Linked DNA regions of Bombyx mori. The protein of the gene in region 1 interacts with the protein of each later gene in a pairwise test. Links are inferred from orthologs where the notes say so. Each region holds a gene or a part of one and is shown in the gene's direction. Other genes may lie near its edges.

Evidence for each region. The genes of interacting proteins can lie anywhere in the genome.
Region 2: the proteins of E3 ubiquitin-protein ligase AMFR (region 1) and Ubc13 interact in a two-hybrid assay, tested with the Homo sapiens proteins (2 studies listed by BioGRID and IntAct). The link is inferred for Bombyx mori from reciprocal best matches to the Homo sapiens genes AMFR and UBE2N.

The regions. Positions count from the first base shown.
Region 1 is NC_085125.1:14,670,109-14,676,920, reverse strand, and holds the end of E3 ubiquitin-protein ligase AMFR, read left to right. Parts: intron 1-2,290; coding exon 2,291-2,401; intron 2,402-3,309; coding exon 3,310-3,434; intron 3,435-3,914; coding exon 3,915-4,124; intron 4,125-4,371; coding exon 4,372-4,480; intron 4,481-5,011; coding exon 5,012-5,159; 3' UTR 5,160-6,208; downstream 6,209-6,812. UniProt on the Homo sapiens protein: E3 ubiquitin-protein ligase that mediates the polyubiquitination of lysine and cysteine residues on target proteins, such as CD3D, CYP3A4, CFTR, INSIG1, SOAT2/ACAT2 and APOB for proteasomal degradation.
Region 2 is NC_085111.1:2,341,722-2,349,517, forward strand, and holds Ubc13 (ubiquitin conjugating enzyme E2), read left to right. Parts: upstream 1-2,971; 5' UTR 2,972-3,197; coding exon 3,198-3,653; 3' UTR 3,654-4,333; downstream 4,334-7,796. UniProt on the Homo sapiens protein: The UBE2V1-UBE2N and UBE2V2-UBE2N heterodimers catalyze the synthesis of non-canonical 'Lys-63'-linked polyubiquitin chains. This type of polyubiquitination does not lead to protein degradation by the proteasome.

The DNA.
Region 1 (6,812 bases):
CGTTCTAAGATCTCAGTATAGTTACAACGGCTGCCCTGCCCTTCAAACTGAAACGCATTACTGCTTCACGGCAGAAATAGGTAGGGCCAATACAAATACAAATAGGCAGGGCAAATACAAATACAAATACCCGCGCGCACTCAGAAGAGGTTCTACCACCAGTAATTACGCAAATTATAATTATGCGGGTTTGTTTTTTATTACACGATGTTATTCCTTCACCGTGGAAGTCAATCGCGAACATTTGTTGAGTACGTATTTCATTAGAAAAATTGGTACCCGCCTGAGATTCGAACACCGGTGCATCGCTACACACGAATGCACCGGACGTCTTTCCTTTAGGCCACTTTAGGTTGTTAGTAGACCTCTTCTGAAAACGAAAACAGGCGATAGTACTAATGACACCTTTGATGACGGGAAGGGAAAAAACATTTAAAAAATTTTTGATTTTTTAGTTTAGTTTTTGATTTATTGTTTCAATGTTGTTGTTTTTTTGGTAAAGTAATGTATTTTTTATGAAACTGTCGTTTCATTTAGCTGCACTAACATGATGGAGCTTAAATAACGCTAATAAAACGTTTTAAAAATATGATTTTTTTTCCGATCATGATCAATTTTTTTCCGTCTCATCATCATTGGTGTCATTAGTACTATTGTCTGTCTTCGTTTTCGGAAGCGGTCTCCTAACACCCAGTGTATAGTTTGCCAGAGCTTTTGCAAGGCGACTCTGAGGAATAATCTTCTCACTGGTGTACAGATCTGCACAAGATGTATCGCATATACTCATTTTTTATATAGAGTAAGCTTCGGTTATATTGCTTATGTTAATTTTGAACGCGCGCTGAGGAATTCACAAACAATGAAGGCTGTAAAAAATGTAGCCAATTATGCATATCTCATATAATGAAACAATCTTTAAGCAATGAGTTTTAAACATTATAACAATGCAATAATAAATCGTGTTGTGACTAATACATTTTTTTTATTTCTATTGTTTTATTCGTTTGTTATGCTGTCGGTACTGTGACGTCATCACGGTTTTTACAATAATGCATCTCAAGTTGGTAAAAGGAAATTCTCGATTCAATAAATAGTATCATAAATATCATTGATTGTGAGTTTATCTATTAACTATTTTTTTATTGGTCAATTTGAAGATAGCATAGCAGGGAGAAGTCACGTGCTGCGTGTAATGTTCTTCACGTCAACACGAAATAGCCTTTCAGATCATATGAGTTTGTTTCTTTTATTATATCTATATATTAATACGGGTAGCAAAAATGTGTACCCCTTTTTACGAAACTTGCACGGACGGAGGAGTATGATATTACCTACACTTATAGAGAATATAGAGGAGTGCAGAATACTATTTTTTTTATTGTGCATAAAAAATACATTGAATCAATAAAAAAAAACATGACACACAACACCATGTATTTGACACACACACGCATATATACTCTTTTGTTTACTGTTAAAGTCTGTGGTCAAATTGAGAATAGATTAATATTGTTTGTTTTTAATATTATTTATCTATAGTATAGTCTTGGCGAAATCTGTGATTATAGAAGTCTTTGACAATAGAATCATAAAAATGTTGAAACTTATAATTTAAATCAATAATTATAGTTGAATTTCGACTACATGGCGGCCACTAGTATATATAGTTACTAGCGACCCGCCCTCGCTTCGCTTCGGAAAAATTAAAACACACATGAAACCAAAAAAATAAAATAAAATAAAAATTAAAAAAAGTAGCCTATGTTCATCAGGGACAATGTCGGCTTCTAATGGAAAAAGAATTTTTCAAATCGGTCCAGTAGTTTCGGAGCCTATTCGAAACAAACAAACAAATCTTTCCTCTTTATAATATTAGTATAGATGTAATACTAAAGATATATATATAACTATAATAGTTTCGGCGAGCTAATGATGATATGCACGATATCGCTTGCGGTTTTTATACCTAATAGTCACCATGAATGATGTGATAATGGTACCGTTTGTATATCTACCTATCTGCGAGTAGCCTCAAGGGGCTATTCTGGCTGCTCCGTGACTGGTATTAGATGCAGTTAACCGGACGCCATTCGGATCCCATTCTCAACAAAGATGACCGGTTGTATACGAGCTGCTTGTCCTAATGTTGGTAGCTTATGTCCTTCTGTGGACTCCTGGTGATTAGATTATTCCGCGACTCAATTTTCAAAATGCTGCTAGGGCTGATCTGAGGGTCCAATTCTGCGGCAGAACACTCACAAATATGGTTTAAATGAACCTTTCTTTCCAGTTACCCAATGGCAAGCAAAGAGGAGGTTGAAAAGAATCAAGACAATTGTGCAATCTGCTGGGAACCGATGAAGGAAGCTAGGAAACTGCCCTGTTCTCATCTCTTCCACAAGTATGTCATTTTGTTGACAAATAGCTGGGGTATATCGGTAATTGAGGTCGTCTCCTGCGGAACCGGGTCACGGGTGCAATAAGGTATTCTATTGCGCTCGTAAGTTGCTGTGAGTACAATCTAAATATTGGAAGAACGAAGGAATCATTATTTTCTGGAACATAAATATCCTTGTGAAGTTTCGGTTTTTTCAACTTTTTTCGAAATACATGTACCATATATGATATTACTAAAAATCCATCCATGATGCATCTTCCTGCAATTCACCAGGGAGGAGAGAGGGGACACAGTAATGTTGTAGTAAATAGGTGGGACGAGAAGAGAGCGAGCATCAACCTTTGCCGCGGAGAGCCTTCTCTGTTTCTTAATTTATTTCTAACTAGCAGACCCGGCCACACGTTGCTGTGGCTAATGTTTTTGTTTCTAAATAACACGTGGCCGGCTAATACCCAAAATTAACAAAGTAAGAACAATTGGTTCTCACTGTATTCTGTTTACTACGAAATAAATTTCACTTATCTCATCAGCCTCAGCAACACGTGGTGTTTATGCCGTTACATTGTAGCTTATGTGAAACGTTGGTATTTTTAACACAGCGCCATCTATGAGATATTAATGTCAGACAGTATTATAACTGTCTGTAAAAACTGACTTAAGGCGTCACGTCAGAAATCATTTTGTTGTTAATTAATAAATATCACAACCATAAATCGAAATAAAAACCATCATGTGGTCTAAGTTGAAAAAAACATATTTAAAAAAAAAGGTTAAAATCGGTTCAGTAGTTTAGGCGTCCATCGCGGACAAACAACGTGACACGTAATTTATATATATTAAGATGTATGGTCGGGTTTTAAATTGCATGAGGATAAAGTGACGGTAGAGTGAGTGCGGTGTGTTGTGCGCAGCTCGTGCCTATGCCAGTGGGTGCAGCAGGACGCGTCGTGCCCCACGTGCCGCCGCGGCCTCGCACACGGCGCGCCCCCGCCCCCGCCCCCAACCCCGCCGCACAACCACCTCTTCCACTTCGACGGTACGACAGTTTCTGGACATTTCATCCCCGTGAAGGTAGACTAGGGAATGAACGGCTGTAGGGACAAACAGTACAAACTTGTTTCTTGTTTCAAATAATAAATTTACAAATGATATTAAAAGTAATACAAAGCTTTATTAACTGTAGTGTAGTTTCAACTGACTCCTGATCGACCCGAGCGAAGCCGGCGCGGGTCGCCAGTCATGACTTAAACTTAGATACAATCTGTCGTGTGTCAGTATTATATAAATTCAACGATTGCCTACTGGGACGAAAAGAATCCGTGCCCTGTGCGGCGCCGGCACGCACACTGTGCGGCGCCGCGTGCTGTCAGCGACTTATGGAGCATTCCACGTTTCCATTCCGTTGCAAGTTTTTGTTGCTTTGTGCAAAGTTGACTGATCGCTCCTCTTCCATAGATGTGTCAAAACTGTAACTGAACAGTAGGTAGTGTTACTGGTGGAGCATGACGTGTTGCAGGCTCCCGCTACGTGTCGTGGCTGCCCAGCTTCTCCGTGGAGGTGACCCGCGCCCGGCCCTCCGCCGCGCAGCTGGACGCCATGGTGGCGCAGGTGCTGGGCATGTTCCCGCAGGCTGACCCCGCCGCCCTGCGCGCCGACCTGCTGCTCACCCGCTCCGCGCACCTCACGCTCGACAACATCCTCGAGGGCAGGCTGCAGCCGCCCGCAGGTACCAACCCATACATTATATTTCATCTCATTTCATTTAATTTCATCCCAGTTGATTAATGTCTCAAATTAATTATCTTCATTTCATTTCACTCCATATTATCATTATTCATAAAAAATAAGAATGAAAATTAAAATAAGACATGACTTGTCGCCAAGGCGGTGATACATACCCTTGAAGGCTTGCAAGACGCTCTACCACCTGTAGTTGAATGTTACTAAATAATAAATGGCAATGAATTGAACAGAAGCACCGACAGTAAGACCGATCTCGCCCCTCGAGGCGCCCCCCGCCCCGGAGCCCGCGCCCCCCGCTCCGGAGCCTGCGCCCCCCGCCGCGGAGCCCGGCCTGGACAAGTACGTAATGCGTCTAGTTATGTTTCCTACACACGCGGCGTATATACAAACACCGCTTACTGTATATGTATGTATATATGTATGTAGATGGAGACAGTGTAAGACATCCTGTGCCTCGAACAGCCAGAACGCGCACAACTACTATTTGCTCTTCATTTGTTTTCGTTGAGACGATTAAAACAAAAGAAAACAAAACACATATTATTTTCGATAATAAATGAATTTAATAGAAAATTTATATCCACTAAAGTTAAGCAAATTAAAAATAATATAAAAATGAAAATAACTTCAGTGTAGCCGAAGTCAACTAAATATGCATCGCTAACTGCACCCGAATTTAAAAGGTCGCTTTTGTTTATGATTAAGTCAAGAACCAAAGGTTTGGTGTTTTTTCGTTACATGATAATTTCAGTGAATCCTACCCCAATCTTCACTAAGGAACTTCGTGCCAATGGTACAAAATAGGCAGACTTACTAATTTATTACTTCACGAAAAGTGGAGGTCGTCAAATAATAACGTTCGGATTCCAGTCTAGACGTCGGGTCGACCAGCGCTATATTCTCGAGAAACGCGCCCGAACGAGAACAGAACCTGAGACGCAGGAAGGAGATGCTGGTGGCGGCGGCGCGCAGGCGGTACCTCGAGCGGCGCGGCGAGGCGGCGCCACCACGCAGCTGACTCGCCCCCCCGCCCCAACCCCCCGGCCCCCAGTACAATGCGCGCTCGCGTGCCCAGCGGTCGTGTCCGGTGCACCTGCACTAGCGCCCTTCCGAATGTATTTTTGTATGTCGATTAGTATATCTACTGTCTCGTGTGAAAATTTACCGTAGAGTCAGTAAGCAAATTAAATTTCAACCGTCCTCGCTGTTTCGAAAAAGTAATATTTCAATATTGGCAACATTTATGTACAAATTGAAATTTAAAAAAAATCGGCAACTTTAATTAAGTAATGATTCAATTTATAACTTGAACGCTGACGCGCAATGTTAGGAGTATCATAAAAAGTTAAATTAGCATATGACGTTTTTGTGACATGCGAGATTTTTGAAGGAGATAATGATCACTGTTGTAGTAGCGTTAAAACATTTAAATATAAAAGGAATATAAAAATATATGAAATTTAATAAAATAAAATGGTAGAGCAATCAGAAGACGTTTTAAACGACTACGAATGCAGAAAAGTACGTACTCATTTAATATTTGTGTAAAGTAAACTTGTGTCGTCGACTGTCCGGCGCCGACACGTCGCGACAGTACCGATTGGACTTGTTGTAGCGCCTCGAGTTGTATGGAGTGCTGCGCGATATTCATACACGCCCGTTACCAATACGTTACCACCTGTGTTTGATCCAGTTTTCAATTATTATTAATTTGTCCAGTTTTCCTGTGCAATTTTCAAAAAAATATTAAAATATTGTCTTAATTTGGTTTTTCAATATTTCTGCACTTTATAGCACTACAATATTTTTACGTAAAATTTAAACGCTTTCTGTACCTAATAACTCTCGTTATGCTTTGTATCCAGATTAATTTTAAAATGAATTGTTTTTAGAAGTAAATTTAAATATATTTTAAGAAATAATGCGAGTTCAGTACCGGGACGAAGCAACGTAAAGTTTGTACTTAGTGGTTATGTAAGATGTTGTTTCCCGTATCTGTTCCGGCCGCTTCAGAACACTGTACGTCTATTGATTACTAGTCAAATAAAATAATAAGACTTAAAATTATTTTATGTTTTATTTCCTTTCCACTCTCTTTGTAATAACCTAATGTCAACCCTGATTGTCTGTCCAACAAGAAGCCCTTCGACGATCCAGTTTTCTTTTTAAATGTCATTCAAATCTACTTATTTATATTTCACGATTAGAATCACTTTGGGAGACCATTTGAAAGGTCGTTTATCCTCATCGATACTTAACCTTCTGTGTGACGTTAAGACATGGCACCTCGAATATATTAAGTGTATAATCTATGCAAGGCACTCAAAGACAAGGAAAAAAGCGACTACACGCGACTTGGGATTCCCTCTGTTGTCAGGTTTACTGGTGGTAGGACGTCTTACGAGTCCGCACGGCTAGGTACCACCACCCTGCTTATTTCTGCCGTGAAGCAGTAATGCGTCCCGGTTTGAAGGATGGGGCAGCCATTGTAGCTATACTGAAACTTTTTTTTTTTGTCAACATTGAACATTGATAAATCTAATTGTCTAATAAATGGTTTGAAGAGCCTAGGAAGGTTGGGCTCCATACACCTGCTTTGTTCAAGAAAGGCATTAAAAAATTACCACTGCACTGGTAGAGTATCGATATCATAGGTGCATAGTTTGATTAG
Region 2 (7,796 bases), on another chromosome or scaffold:
TACCTTGCACCATATAAATAATATAATAATAATAATAAGCAAATTTTATTTCCAACGCCTTACGAAAATAACAGGTTTTTAAAAAAAAAATATCGAACATTTTGCACTTGTGTTATTGGAACCCCACTTCGTGTATAGGCCTCCTCCAGCGTACTCCGTTTTTCCCTATTCTTGGCCTTGCTTCTCCATTCTTTTCCTGTTGTTGCTATTATTTCATCCATCCAGCTGTTCCTTTGTCAGCCTTTTCTTCTTTTACCCATTGGTCCTTCCTATCGTGTGGTTTCTAATTTCCACCTTTTGTCCGCATATCTCGCAAGATGTACACTGCCCAAATGCACTGCTGTGTTAGAGCATCCAACTTTTGCCATATAATTGTGCCATAGTCACGGTACATGAAGTTTGTATATTCCGTTATTATTTTTATAGAGGAGCGGAGATTGGCTGCATGTAGACAGCGCGGGACTCATTTGTGATGGCGATGGCGAGACATGGGGAAGCCTATATCCAGCAGTGGACATATGTGGGCTATATATCTGTGGATATATAGGTGTCCTTGAGAGAACAAGATTTACATATTTTAAATTGATTATCTTGTTAATTAACAACATAAGTAAACGTATTCTATTATTATCAAATTAAAGTATCTAGAACACCAATTATTAAAGTACCTTCAAGTGTAGGTACCTAGATAGTTAATAATATCAAAGTTCACTAATGAACACACAGGCAACACAAAGGGATATTAAATACCCATCATAGGTAGAAAGCGCTGTGAACCTAATGTAAAATACGTTTAGTGCTGATTGACACTATCAAATGTCCTCCGAGAGGCGATAAATTCCTTGATAATAAATATTATAACAATGGCTACATCGATTAAGGTACGGAAGGTGACGAACTTATCTGCTACGCACCTGTGACGATTGGAAAATTAGCTGAATGCTAACAATCCGAAAGTTTAAGGAATATTTCGTTCAAATTTTTATTAGTCGTGTCACCTTACTCCCAGCCTACCGCGGATAAATTCTGTATCATCAGAAGTTTAAATGCGTGTTTGTTGAGTGGAAGGAAGCTTTAATTAGTTCACTCCGACATATCCCGCGTGCCGCACTCAACGCTTAACCCAACTAGGAAGGTTAGTGTCTACTAGCTACCTCGATAGATATAATTGAAATTACATATTTTTACTGTAACAATTTAACTGTTTACAGTTTGTAAAACGTTAGAAATGATATAAAGACAATATTATAAACTGAAAAAGTGATTTTAATTACCTCTACGAACCGAAAAACTAAGGAAAATACTATTGTATCTCGATGGATTTAAAATGTATGTATGTTATGCTGTATGAAATTTAAACTAGTATTTTTTTAATTGACATTTCGTAAAAAGACACCGTAGATGATTCGCCTTTTCCTATCTTTATCTACCTATAAAAGAAGAGGGTCCAATGCTCCTGATAATATTCCTATAGGTAATTTATGAACAGACATTACCCATATCCATATAGAAAAAAAAATTATTTTATTTCACTGCTCCCTTTAATACCGGATATTTTCCATGAATGTTACATAGGTCGTCCCACGTTGGAGACCTTACGAAATACAGATATTTTAGAACCCGAGGAAGAAGAATTTTATTAAACATTGAGTTGTTAGGTATATCTTTATTGTTAATCTTTACACGTCATTTCGGATCCTCCCGATCCACTAACGGTGCTTTTAGGTACTTCAAGCACCGGTCACCGTTCTCGTCGAACCCGTCGCTTGCGACGAAGGGCTCGACGAGTAAACTAACTCTCAGACACAGCCCACTGAGTTTCTCGCCGGATCTTCTCAGTGGGTCGCGTTTCCGATCCGGTGGTAGATTCTGCGAAGCACGACTCTTGCTAGGGTTCGTGTTAGCAACATCGTCAGGTTTGAGCCCCGTGAGCTCACCTACTAAAGTTAGGGTTACGCTGACATAGCCGCTAGGGCTATCAGCTTAGGTAGGAAAAAAAAAAAAAAAGTTAATCTTTTTCACTTAGGTAACTCATACTATTATTGTGTTCCTTGTAACTTAAGTCATATAAATATTAAACAACCATATTAAGATAGTTAAGTTAAATATAATATGTCTATAATATATCGATGATATAATAACCTTATTTGTCATTGATAACGAGAATTTGTCTTAATACTGAAGATTCTACACATAGATGTTCTAAATTTAATGAAACAAAATTAGACATCTGTTGACGAGTAGCTGACATCACGTCATTTTTAAAACTGTATTAGATGTCGCTGACCGCGGTCCTAAGTGATTTTATTTAGATCTGTTCATTAAAATAACATTTTCACAATAGGTTCATAATAAATACTAATTTGTTTACGAGCCTACGTTTTTCACATTTATCATTTTCTGTCAGCTGAATAAAAAATATACGTTTCATAAAATTTTGAACAGCCTGTAACTCTCATTTTTAAAAAATCATGTGCGCCATTCACTCTCGGTAGAAACGTAAGATTCAGAAGCATATAAAACACAAATATAATAAAAAACAAGTTCCGAAACTTTCGAAACAGTTTTAACAACTTTCATGTAGGTTCTCTTCAATTAAACACGCTTTCCTGTTTGGATTTTATATTAAGGGCTGAATACAGTTCTTCCTCTCTACTATTTTTCTATTACTGACATCTTTCATTCTTCCCTTTTTTTTCATAAGCTCTTTTGCGCCTTCTTCTAAATAGATTGAAGTCTGTATAACAAGACAAGTTAGTTTTAGCAGGCTTCAAACACGGCACAAGTTGTATAACAATGTTGTGTGATTCCTATTCAGTCCCAGGTACTCAACCTAGTACAGAATTTTATTCTTTTAATAAACAATTTGTTTTTGTTGTCTTAAACTAATGCATGTTTATTTAAAAGGCTTTTTTCCAGACATCTATATTGAACGCACCCTATTCTAAATTCTACATTTTGTCTATGTTGGTGAAAATCTATATTATCTGTGGTTAAAAAAAACTAAAGAACACTCGCTTTTGTAGTCGCGTTTATTGCAATTTCGTAGATAAAATGCTATTGTAATTCATTAATATAAGGAAACGTGCCTCAACAAGCGTCGTTAACACATTCAGTGCTAATATAATTAGATATTTTATACAATTATATGAGTAATCGCTTCCATTTGACAAACTGCGCTCGACCGCATATTTAAAATGGCAGCCCTACCACGTAGAATAATCAAAGAGACACAGCGATTGATGCAGGAGCCGGTGCCCGGGATCAGCGCAGTACCTAGCGAGACAAACGCCCGTTACTTCCACGTTATCGTGACGGGCCCAGAGGACTCGCCTTTCGAAGGAGGACTGTTCAAATTAGAATTATTTCTACCGGAGGATTACCCCATGTCGGCACCTAAGGTTAGGTTTATCACGAAAATATATCATCCTAATATAGACCGACTGGGCCGCATTTGTTTGGACATTCTTAAAGATAAATGGAGTCCAGCTCTACAAATACGCACGGTGCTACTGTCTATTCAGGCTCTGCTGTCAGCACCTAACCCTGACGATCCGCTGGCGAACGACGTTGCCGAATTGTGGAAGGTGAACGAGAGTGAAGCTATTAGGAACGCGAAGGAGTGGACGCGGAGATACGCCATGGACAACTGAATAGCCGGCACGAGAGCACCGGTGCCGACCGTGCGCGCCACACGACCAACGAGATATCACGACTTATGAGTGCAAGTTATGTTACACATCCTAAACAGAGTAACTTGTGAGAGACTATTGTGGATCAAATTTTTATTATTAGTGGATGAGGGCCGCGGCGCCGGTCCCTTTGCAGTTATCCATTGCCTCACCTTGTTCGCCTCGGAACGGCTAGGCGATCCCACAGATCATTGTTTACCCATTCACATGTAGCTTGGTTACAATATTAGGTATGCATATTTTTTTACTATTAATATGAATAGTGAATAAAGAAAATATACCTGGAGTCTTCAATGTATATATTATGCTGGTTTAAAATTAATTTTGTACAGAAGATAGTTTCAATTTGCAAAGTTTGATTATCTATGCCAGAGACTTATCGGACACAGTCTTACTAAAATTTGATTGTAACATCATTTAACTGATCTCTCATTGAAATGTTTTTTGTTTTTTTTTTTATAGAACAATGATTGCATTTAGGTATAATTTTCACTTTATTAACCACATCGAACATGATTTCACAGTGAATCTTATGTTGTACTATTTACGTCTTGTATAAAAATTATCAAAATAAATTGTATTTATGTAAATTTTTAATTTGGCTTCGTGAGCAACTTCAAAATACATGAAATACAAAAAGCTAACCCATATTTTATTTTTAGTGCAATACCATCACAAAATAGGATTCATTAAATTAAAATAAGGGCCAAACTCAAGTAGCAATTTACAAATTAAAAGCATTTACTGGAATCGCGTTGATACCTTGCAACATGCTCTTATAATATTGAATACATTGGACCAATGGCTATCAAACTCTTCTAAGTAAAGGGTGATTGCTTTATGGCATCAATAGGCATGATGGTTGTCATTACGTTTAAAGAATCTATCAACAACAGTTACAAAACAAACTTTGAAAAATTAACATCTTTTTGAATTCACCTCTACACCTCTGAATTTCAACTAGAAATAAAGTGCTTATCCATTGATCAGTCAGTGGGTATAGGTTTGTTAGTTCATTGAAATTTAAGTAAAGACACAAGTTAACTGAACAGTTGTCATTGCAACTTAACGAAAATGTAATATCAGAAATGTTGATTGAATGATTGTTTCATATTGAATTAAGCAACCGTGATGACATATTGGTCGTAAGCCACCAATAGCTCATAAGTGCTTTAGACCATAATAACTCAAATTTTATAATAACAAAATATAGATGGTATTTATGAACCAAAATCAAAGTTTATTATTTGTACTGTAGTTTTATATTGTTAAGAAGAAAATATTCAAATCACATTCACATTTAGAGCTGTAAGTAAATTAGAAGGTATTTCCATAAAAAAATATTGGCAAAAAAATCAGGTAGATGTTATTTCTTCTTGGTGTGAGTTCTTAAAAAGTTTTTTTTTTTTTATAATATCATAGAAAAATACAAAGAAAAGTAGCCACTTCTAACATTAAGATAAAAAGCTAACAGATGGTGCAAAAAACAATTTCAGTAAAAATGTGAGCTGGGAGGTATTGGGAGCTTACGGTTGATAAATTCTTCAGTTCTCAGTCATTGACATAATTAAAACTAATTTTACGATTTAATGCCATGGTGGTGTGTGTTGAATTGTGATCACAAAAATTGTAGTGTCCGTAACATTGATAATAATATGATTGAACTATAAGTCATATTAAGATTATCTTTGACTTAGCAGGTAAGATGTCCTCTAATATTGCTGTGGGATTTTGAGTGGTTTCCTTGTGATGCAGATTGTATTGACCCTATATCAGTTCACATTAGCACTTCAGGGAGTTATTTTGGATGACGACTGAGAATTTTCTCTCCTGCCAGTACAGCTACTTGAAGAACTCATTTTGCATATATAGTCAAAACTGAGAAAAGCAACTTACAGATATAGCCAAGTACTTTAAATCTATAACAATATGTCTTAATTCCTGTCACCACCATTTCAAGATGTGCTCGTAGGACTGTCGGACAGAAGGACAGGAAATACTAAATCACACAAGCATGAATTAATATTGTTAATATATTATATAATATTAATATACCTATTTTATTATTATGTTCCATAATGCTTTTGATATAGCATCATATGGATTTCCCAGACTATAAAAATAGATAATACTTTTCATGTGCCATATTAATGAAATGTTTTCCTCATTGATGTTTTCGCTTCAATTTTTTGATATCATTGCTTTTAAGGAGAAAAAACAACAAAAAAATAAAATAAAATATAACTGGATAAAAAAAATGCATCATAAGCTTTTAGAACGAAAGAAATTCAATACCAAAATAAATATATTGTCAAATGGTAGTATAGTGGATCTTCTTCTTCTATATCGTTCCATAACTGCTGAGGATCGCGACCACATGTGACGTTCTTCCACTATGTTCGATCATGGGTGGCATGGACCACATGGTACAGACTACCACCAAGTGCTTCTCTTACTAGATCTGACCGTTTGGCTGGTGTTCTGCCCACGGCGCACTTGCTCTCTATGCGACCCACAATTAAGAGCTTCTCTAATTCTTGTCTGAGATATAGTGGATGGTTGCACCGAAATATAGTCACCTTTTTAATTATTAGCGGAGGCAGATGAGTTCCCAGGTCACCTTAATGTAAACATTGCCTTCATCTACTAACTTAATAATCAAAATAAATATTAGAAAGTAGCCCATTTTATAATGAACTAGGTACATTAGATTGTGGGTTATAAATTACAATGATTTCTCTTTACTGGGAAACAAAGTCCCTATTTTGAAATTCGCGTCTTCGCTCATTGTGCTGATTTCAGATCGTAGCTCTTGATGTCATCGACCAGATACATTGTACTGTTAGTGTACTTATAAATTGCATTCTAATAAGAAAACTTTAATCTTCGTGAACCTTGAAATTTCGAAGTAAATACAATCTTTACTTAACAAAATACGACCGGATTTAGATACAATAGGTTTGTGGTTTTGCAATTAGATGTGTGCATAAATTTTGGGCCAACTGATGTTGAATAGCTACCAGAATATACTTTGGTATAAAACATTATCCTTCAATCGTGGAATTTATCTTTAAAACGTTTTGAGTACGCATTGATACCTGCCTGCTTAATTTGATGTTTGAATAAGGGCATAGCATAGCGCCAACCCTTTTAATGCCTACACTTTATAAGTGAATAGATGTGTAATAACGCAGTGATCAGCGCAGTTTTTAACGCAGTGATGAACACAGCTTGCGGTGATTGGCGCAATGCGATCATAAAAAGGGTAACGGTATTTATCTCAAATAATCCACAGATTAAACAATTAGTTTCCCTCATCAAATGAAACGGAAGTTGGGCTGGTATTTTCAAAGAAAAGAGAAATATATATAGAAATATATATATATAGAAAAATCAATAAAGATCTTGCAAAGGTGATTGTCAGATAACGACCTGACATTGGTGTAGGTTTTAATGTTGGCGGTCGTTTTTATCTTTGACATGTTGAAAACAAAGCTATTTGTTGTAAATTACTAATGCATACTGATAATCTATTTAAAGATTAGACGTTAAGTTCTCTCGCATTCAGTCCTAACTTTAAGATTTCATGCCTAAATAAATACCTATCTATAAAACCCGAAACAAAAATGTAGACAAATTATTTTTATTCATTAGGAGTAACCGTGGTAAGCAACTATCAGAAAATAAAGGTACTGAAGCGTGTACAACATATCCCAGGCAATGTAACATAATAATAAATGAACTTTCCAAATCTACAATATTGTTTTTGGGAACTGTCTCTACACTACCAACCCTATTCTAAACAAAGTCAGACTATATTATACTGAGGAAAAACTCGCAGTTCGGAAAGAATATTTATCTACTTTCTATTATAAACATTTCCTTTATAAGTAGATGCGCGACCGTTTTGTGGTGGTTACTGGAGCTCATAGACAAGAAAAGCCGCCGCAGCCTTGAGACGAGGTCGAAATATTGTGTGGGGGTCCCACTTCAAAACGTAACACATAAATGACCACTTCGTGGCAAAAATAGGAAGGACGATAGTACCTACCCTTGCGGCTTATAATACATGTTCAAATCAATAAGACAATGATACCTACTCAA